Linked DNA regions of Tribolium castaneum. The protein of the gene in region 1 binds, or shares a complex with, the protein of each later gene. Links are inferred from orthologs where the notes say so. Each region holds a gene or a part of one and is shown on either strand. Other genes may lie near its edges.

Region 1 (4,217 bases):
TTTATTTTAATTTTTCGTGTTACATATTTTTATTGCAAACAAATACGAAAAACATATACTGCTAAATGTTTGATTACAAGAAACTAGTATAAATCTGTCCACCAAAATCATGGATAAATAAATAAGTGTAAGGAATGAATTATTTGGGGTTGACAATCCTGTAGTGCAGCGTCAGGTCTGCCGAAGATTTCCAGATGAAATGTTTAACGGTTCGTAAGTCCATGGCTGGGTCCAGGACTTGGTCATTGCAGGTCAGTTCAATTTGATCAACGTTGTACCCGTTGCCGCTGGGAGTGGTCGAATCGGCGTCACCTCCGGGAGAACTTGCGTTTCCATCCCCCAGTAATTTCTCCAAAATATGTTCGGCAACTTTGCGACACTGGATAAAATCATTGGCTACCAATCTATCGGGCTGAAAAAACAACTTCAAGGAGTGTTAAACCAAAAAAAATAGCTACTTTTTTCAGTCTGTCTTGTTTCAATAAATGAGACGGGACCGAAGAGTGCGGCTGAAGGTAAAACTGCACTTTGATGAATTTCCCGGTACTGTTCTCCTCAATAATGGAAATAACCCAATTAGGCACTGTTTCGTTCAGGAGCGCATTTTCGGTGTCTCCGACTGTGTCGCCCACCAAGACCCGGTAAAGCGTGCGCCCGCCCACTTCACTACAAAAAATATTACGGCAATTTGTCATTTGAGGCTTTATTTACCTCAAAATCAAGGGTATATGTTTGGGTACTGAGAAGTACAGTTTATTTTCGGGGTCTCTCTCCACGCCTCTCCAATGCTCGAACAGTGCTTGCAGTAGCAATTTTCCGTAGTTTACTTTTTGGTCGGGGTCTGGACAGTCCCTGATTCCCGCATCCCTGGCCGAAACCCAGGCCGAGAAGCAATCGACTTCGTCCTGTCCTAAATGAATCGTCAGCATTCCAGTCTTTAAATCAACATTGAACCAATTCGGGACGTAAACTACTTTGAATCGGTTTTTTATTTCGTCTTGGAAATTGATTTGGCCTAGGTCTTCGATTTTTCGCGCACGCAAAACGTCGTAAAGAGCGACATTATCGTTGGCATCTTTGGTCAAAATGTGTCTCTTGTCGTTGAGAACGACGGCCTGACGTATCGCAGCACCGCCTGGTATCAGCGAAATGGGCGATGTCGGCATTTTGGCCTCTTCTTTGAAGTGTTTCTCGGTTGGCAACTTCCAACAGCGAATGCTGGAGTTGGAAGTTGACACCTAGGTAAACCCGAAAGCAAGAAAAATTATAAATAACAGACAATAAAATGCGTGAACGGGAAACGAAACATAAATAGAAAAAAAATGTTGCCTCATGTGCTTCCAAATAACAATAAAAAAAGAGAAATGTTGGAACTACAAAAACTTTGTTCAGCTGTTTGTACCTTGAGTATTAATAACAACAGAAAATGTTGAGGAATTGGGAAATCTTTAAGAAATCTGATGCAAAAAAAAATTACTAACCCAGACAGCCTGCTGGTCTGCCGTGAAGCACATTTTGAGCACTGGCGCCTCCTCCACACAGACCACAACGCTGTTCTGGGGGTTTTTCAGATCAGTCATTATCACCTGGAAGTTATTTGGTAAAATTTTTCAAAATAACGTGCAAAATCATTGCCTTCTTGTCCCTACCACCGGAGATTACATGAGTGAAATTTTCCGTGGCCAGAAGTGCCCAAACGGAGTCGCTATGCACTCTGATTGTTTGGATACACCTCTGGCCCCCTAAACTCCACACTTTGATGGACCCATCGCTGCTGCCAGAAATGCAATGAGTGCCATCTTTTGACACAACTAAAGCCTTAACGTTATCAGTGTGACCTTTTAACTTAAACAACTTGACGCAATTTCGCGGGTCCCAAAGCCTGAGGGCTTTCTCGGTGGATCCGCTTACTATAACAGTGCCTGGAGGGTTCATTGCTAGGCTATAAATTGATTCTTTGCTGCCCATCAAACTAGAAGCTATTAGAATTCGTGTGAGTGTGTGTATTACAACATTCTGGACTTACTAGTGACTGTGTTATTGCTCGCTGTTAGTGCTGTTAAGGTGTTGATGTCCCACAAGTAAATGGATTTATCAAGACCTGCAGACGCGACTTGTTCTCTGTCTTTGGCGTAAGCCAAGGCTTTCACATAGTCTTTATGTGTTCGCAGAGTTGACATGCAGAAGCCCTTGTGGGCGTTCCATACTTTAACAGTAGTGTCAGAACTTGCAGAGATTACTATAAAAATATATTCAGGAAAAAATAAACGAAAGGGGAAGTAATACAGTGCCGGCCTCCGCAACACAGAACTATGTCATTAACCCAATCAGTATGGTGCTCCATTCCGTGTAAATAGCGCTCATGTTCATACACCCTAATAATTGAGTCCCTCCCAGCAGAATACAAACGGTCTAATGCCGGATCTATCTGAAGGGCATTTACCCCAGATCTGTGTCTTTTCTCCTCAGCTTCGCAAATTACCATTGATACCTGGCCAAGATTGTTGCAAAAAACTGTTTTGTAAATACAGAATGTAAACAACTAACCTGGACTTTTTTTCGCGGATTTTGCCCGCCTGGCTTCAGATTTGCCATTTTTTGGAAGTTTAGCAATGTGGCATTTTTTATTTAAAGAAATGGGCTATAAATTGGCGTGATTAGTGTAAAAAAAGCTTTTTTGAAAAGCTTTGTAAAAACTTGAGGTTAGAACGGTCTGACTTTATTTTGACATTTGGGAAGCCAGCGCAGTGGCGGCACGTAATTAGGGGGCAATGATTAAAAAAATGCGAAAAGTTTTGTGTTTCAGTAATAATTCAACTCTAGACCATCCGTCACAATAACCATAACATTTTTGTAATTTTGTACCGGTTTAGAGCAGCGTCATTGTAAATTAATATTCATTACATAAGTGATCACATGACTAAATTGAACCAATCAGAACGCTTCATTAACGCGTCAATCGAAAATTTAATATGAATTTTTGACTTGTTTTCTAGGAATTTTAAAAGATCAAGAATCTTGACTATCATTTGGTGGTTTTTTTCTAAAAGTTATTCGGTTTTTTCTGATATTCTTGCGATAGATTGGACTTTAAAATAGAATGTAAAAAATTGATATTTACTTTTGGAATCACTTTCTGAATTTGTCGTCTTCATACCTATTTACATTTTCCGTTTGTAAATTTTTTTTCTAATAATTTATTTAGAATTATTTATTTGGAAATTATTATTTATTTGATATTTAAAACATTGCCAAATATTTGAACGCATTAACATTTTCTAGAACCAGTCGCAGATTTAGGTACCACAGCAATTATTTTAATTTCCGCGTGCGTGTAACAATTCTTACGTAAGATTTCTAAAGATTTCATTCCACTCTATTAATTAAAATCGGGTACCTAAGCTTAAATTATTGTAAATAGGTCACTTTTACATTTGACCCCTAAATTGTGCACAACGTTGGTAAGAAGTAACTGATCTTAACCATGGTGTTATATTGAAACAAGTGCAAGAATGGTATCACGTTTCAAATAATCACTATATAAATCATGGGGTACCATTCATTCGTCACTGTTTCAGAATGAATCATTTGGTAAGTCCTTAATGAAATTTATTAATTAATAATAATTAATCAATATTAAGTTCGTTGCCGTTTTCGCCATCGTGGCGATAAGTTGCGTTAAGGGAGGGTTTCTGTATGGGGGCGGAGGTGGAGGCGGAGGCGGCGGCGGCGGCGGTCATGGGGGTGGCAGCGTGGCCACTTCAAGTGTTTACACCGCTCGCACCATCCACACCGGATCTCTAGGCCACGGAGGCGGTTTTTCTAGCGGAGGTGGTTTCTCAAGTGGCGGCGGTGGCGGTTCTGGCGGCAGCGGAGGACGAGGAGGACACTCTGGAGGATTCTTCGCCAGTGGCGGCGGCAGCGGCGGAGGCGGAAGTGGCGGATTCAGTTCCGGCAATTTTGGAGGTTTTGGTTACGGACATGGTTTTCACGGCTGAATACGCTTCAAATTTTTGTAATTAGGTTAAGGTAGTTCACTGCGTACATCTTAGATTTAAGTACTGTAAGCTTGACATATCATTAGTAATAAAATCTGTAGTTTATTAGAGACGCGGAGTTTTATTTGTTTTTTTTTGGGGGGGTTTTTGAACAAATCTCACACCGATTAAAAAATAGTTGCATTTATTTATTCCGTATGTACAGAGTGTAAGCATTAA
Region 2 (3,754 bases), on another chromosome or scaffold:
GGCTAATACTGTGTTGAGTTCGAACGTCGAATTGAAAACGTATGGGGAAACCCCGGAAGGGATGATCCAGTCGTGGACTGAACGGTTCCCGAATCCCGAGCCCTTGTATCAGGCTTTGATAGATTTAAGTGCCTCTAATGAGCACTATTTTATTTAATTTTTAATAACGATTAATTATTAGATTATATACGATGCTTTATAAACAATAAAATGATTCTTTGCACTTTGGGAATTTTATTCAACCAACCTACCCCATCCCTGACGGCTAGTAATAATAATGATGCTTCAAATTTTTTCTCCCGTTTGTCGTGAAACTAAAATTTTCGTCAGTTTTCTCAGCTTATTAAGAATTTGATGCTCAACGTTACGGCCATTTTTTGCAGTTAGTAAATTTAAATCAGTTTAGAGCCGAGATAATTTAACGCTTGAAGCGCCTTCAATTGCCTTTTGATACAAAAAAGCGAGTTATTTTGTAAGGATTTTATTTGGAAAAAGGGTTAAAATGAAATACAAGTTTCAAAATATCTTCATATATTTACGAATGATAAAATTACGAAAAATCACACCAATTATGCAACAGATTCTACATCCATCAATTACACTTACATGCTATCAGGTGAAAAAATGCAACCAAGCGTTTGCTATTTTACACTTTGGTTCCACAGTTTTATCCACCTGTTATTGCCCCTACTATGTATAAAAGTTGAATAAAAATCTAATTAGAAAAATACGACATATTCAGGAAGGGGGCCTTGCCCATGTATACACATAACCGTCTTGGCACGCCGTAATGATACAATCAGGTCGAAAAACCAAAGCAGTCAACCTTTCATGAGCAATTTTTTTACAAACTAAAGGTTCCAACACCGGACACTCGTCCAGCCTGGGACAGGCCGGTGTCCCCACCAGCTGCAAAGGATCCGACCTTCTCTTAACCTTCGGTTTCGAAGGAGTCGTCAACGCGTCTTCGGGCAGCTCCCAAAGACACAACTGCGTGTCGTGCCCCACTGACCCCAGCCTGTAGCACGACTCCGCCTCCAGGAACCAATCAAACGCCACGGCGGCCACCCACGAGCGGTGCCCCTGCGCCCTCCCGACGACCCGCTTCTGCTCCATGGAGTAAACAGTGACCAAATCGTCTTCGCCCCCCACTGCAATCAGGCGCCCGTCGCCAGACCACGCCACGCAGAGCAGCCCCCCGAAGTACGAGCGGGCGGTGCCCAGCAGCTCCATACTGTCGTACTGGAACACCCGCAACTGCCCATCTTGCGACACTATGGCCAGTTGGGCCCCACTGGGGCTGAACGCCAGCTCGTTAATGGCGCTTCCGGTGCCCAGAAGCCACCGGAAAAGAGGGTTCCGGGTCGATTTCGTCTTGCAAGTGCTCACACTGAAGCCCTCCCCCACTTTGAACGGCTGATAATGGGGGGCTGCCGAGCCACACGGGAGCTCCTCATTGTACACATACAACTGGCCTGAGGCGTGCGCTGCTAGGAACAACGACCGGCTTCCCGGCACCCACCTTAAACATGTAACCCTCGTTTTGTCAATAAGCCGCTCCTCGTTGAACAATTTGTTCAATTCTTTCTTAATCGGGTCAATTAGCTGGATCTGACCCGTGCTGAAGCCGATCAAGAGACTGACGCTCTCGCCCGAAGCTGACGCGATGTTAAAATCGTGACACGTCGGGTTCGTCCCTTTGTACACCTTCTTCTCCAAGGGCTTGCTCAAATCGGCCGCTTTCTTGATCCCTTTGTACACGTAAACGTACAGCTCCCGCCCATGGTTGAAGCAAATTCTCTCCCCCTGGTCCGGAAGCGTGACAAGGGAGACACGCACCTGGGGCGGCGTTTGCCCCTGAGTCTGATAACCGACTCGGTTAGGCCTCGAGTATTCGCTGAGGGTCATGAGACGGTAGGTGCCTTCGCGAGTCACGAACTGGGTCTTCACGTCGCCGGGCTCGCCCCCGAGCGGGCGTTCGAGGGGGCGGTCGCCCGCTTCCAGAAGCGACTGACTACATAAAGTGTCTGCTCTTGCCATTTTCGGGGCCAAAATACGCGAAGACATTCTATGACGAATTCTACAATTTACACACATTTAGGAGCCGAGGTGAAGACGTTGCAGCATTGCAGCGGTGGCTCGGGCGGTTTTATCACATTTTTGCTGGTAGTAAGGCTAATTCACTACTTTTTCGTCTATTTGTGGCAATTAGACATGGAAAATGAGGTTAGGAAATAAATAATATTTGAAAAGCAGAGACGCCAATAGCGGGCAAGGAATATCCCCGCCAGGAGAGCGAGCGGTTTTTTTAAACTGATTATTCATTATTTCCGTTTGGGAATAAAACACTGTAGGGCAACTATTTAGGATAAAATGCAGGTATTCCTATAAGGATGGTAAAATAAGAGTATTAAAATCTATGGACTGCCATTATTCTTACTATTACGGTCTTGTCAAAGCATATTTTTATTTTAACTACTCTACTCTACTATGTATTTTATCAATATTTCTTATGCATTTGGTATTGTTGAACTGATTGTTTTATTTAGTTATTGATAACTACTGTCTGGGCAAATAACACATGACCGCTGTTGATGTAACACGTATCTGATGAATTATTTATAACAATATGCTGAATCAATAAAAATTAAAAAATAATTAGATTGGGCAGCATAGTTTGACTTAATAATTCCAGTCTTAATTTGTGTTTACAATATATTTTTACAATAAAACTTGATTATTATCTTGGAGGTTACCACACGCTCGAAACATATAATTTTGGGAACAAAATAATTTTTTGCCGCGTCTAAACTCTAAACACAAACATTTAATTACAATAATACATACTATAATTTAATGCTTACAATTTTACAACTCTATATACAAGGCAAGTCTGCATTTTTACCGCATTTTTTCTTATTTTAGGCATTGTTTGTTAATAAATTTACGTAAGAAATTTTTTTTTCAAAGATTTAACAGGCATTATATTAATCTATTAATTTTAATTATGAAGAAATGAGCAAAGATTCTGAAAAAATTCACATGCATGCATAGGGAAAAAATTAAGTATTTAATAGCAATAAACCATAAAAAAGTACCTATTTTTATTGGAAGTTGCAACAACATTTATTGTATTTTTTTCTTAATGTCCAACTCCTTTGCAATACCTTTTCTTCTGATGCATTTATAAATAAGATATGTGGCACAGTAAACAGTGAGTAAGATTAACACAAGTGAAAGCAGAGACACAAATACTAAATCTAAATTAGCAGATTCGACGAAATTCATGTTTCTTGTAGCTAGATTGAAGTGTTCTGCAGTCTTAAATTTTAAAATGTATTCGATCCAAAATATTGCGACGTCTAAAGGTTTGTTCATTTGATGTTTGTACAACGCGGACCACTTTTTTGCGTTTTCCATATAACTAAAATTGTTAATTTCACATTTTCCTTGCTACAACTACAATTAACAAACTTACGTATTGTTGTTTAACACTTTTTGAATGACTTTAAATAAATTGTGTTCTGTGATTTCAAAAAAACTTAATTTTTCGCCGACACCTTTTGCAATAAACGTGTCAACATTTTGTAACTGGTCCAAAAAGAACGGAATTCCGATTACTGGAACCCCATTATACATGATTTCGTGTGAACTTAACAAACCGCCATGTGATATAAAAAGAATTGTATTGGGATGACCTAAAATTAGTAATTAAAATAATTAAAAGAAATATAGAAAAAAACACCGAGAATAT

The links. The genes of interacting proteins can lie anywhere in the genome.
Region 2: the proteins of WD repeat-containing protein 48 homolog (region 1) and WD repeat-containing protein 20 are in contact, whole or in part, in a crystal structure (PDB 5K1C), measured with the Homo sapiens proteins. The link is inferred for Tribolium castaneum from reciprocal best matches to the Homo sapiens genes WDR48 and WDR20. Residues at the interface, in NP_065890.1 of Homo sapiens: Val191, Lys207, Gly208, Gly240, Gln241, Gln242, Arg243, Cys244, Ile245; in NP_653175.2 of Homo sapiens: Arg20, Ser364, Thr384, Glu385, Asp386, Glu524, Pro525, Leu526.

What each region holds. Positions count from the first base shown.
Region 1 is NC_087402.1:5,165,146-5,169,362, reverse strand, and holds the start of WD repeat-containing protein 48 homolog, read right to left. Parts: upstream 2,801-4,217; 5' UTR 2,596-2,800; coding exon 2,548-2,595; intron 2,492-2,547; coding exon 2,287-2,491; intron 2,240-2,286; coding exon 2,027-2,239; intron 1,980-2,026; coding exon 1,636-1,979; intron 1,587-1,635; coding exon 1,482-1,586; intron 1,239-1,481; coding exon 712-1,238; intron 667-711; coding exon 459-666; intron 413-458; coding exon 140-412; 3' UTR 1-139. Other genes in the region: uncharacterized protein LOC107397745, read left to right, coding at 3,580-3,591, 3,642-3,998. UniProt on the Homo sapiens protein: Regulator of deubiquitinating complexes, which acts as a strong activator of USP1, USP12 and USP46. Enhances the USP1-mediated deubiquitination of FANCD2; USP1 being almost inactive by itself.
Region 2 is NC_087396.1:10,866,542-10,870,295, reverse strand, and holds WD repeat-containing protein 20, read right to left. Parts: upstream 2,545-3,754; 5' UTR 2,098-2,544; coding exon 739-2,097; 3' UTR 515-738; downstream 1-514. Other genes in the region: DppIII (dipeptidyl peptidase 3), read left to right, coding at 1-157; UDP-glycosyltransferase UGT5, read right to left, coding at 3,127-3,424, 3,479-3,698, 3,746-3,754. UniProt on the Homo sapiens protein: Regulator of deubiquitinating complexes. Activates deubiquitinating activity of complexes containing USP12. Anchors at the base of the ubiquitin-contacting loop of USP12 and remotely modulates the catalytic center of the enzyme.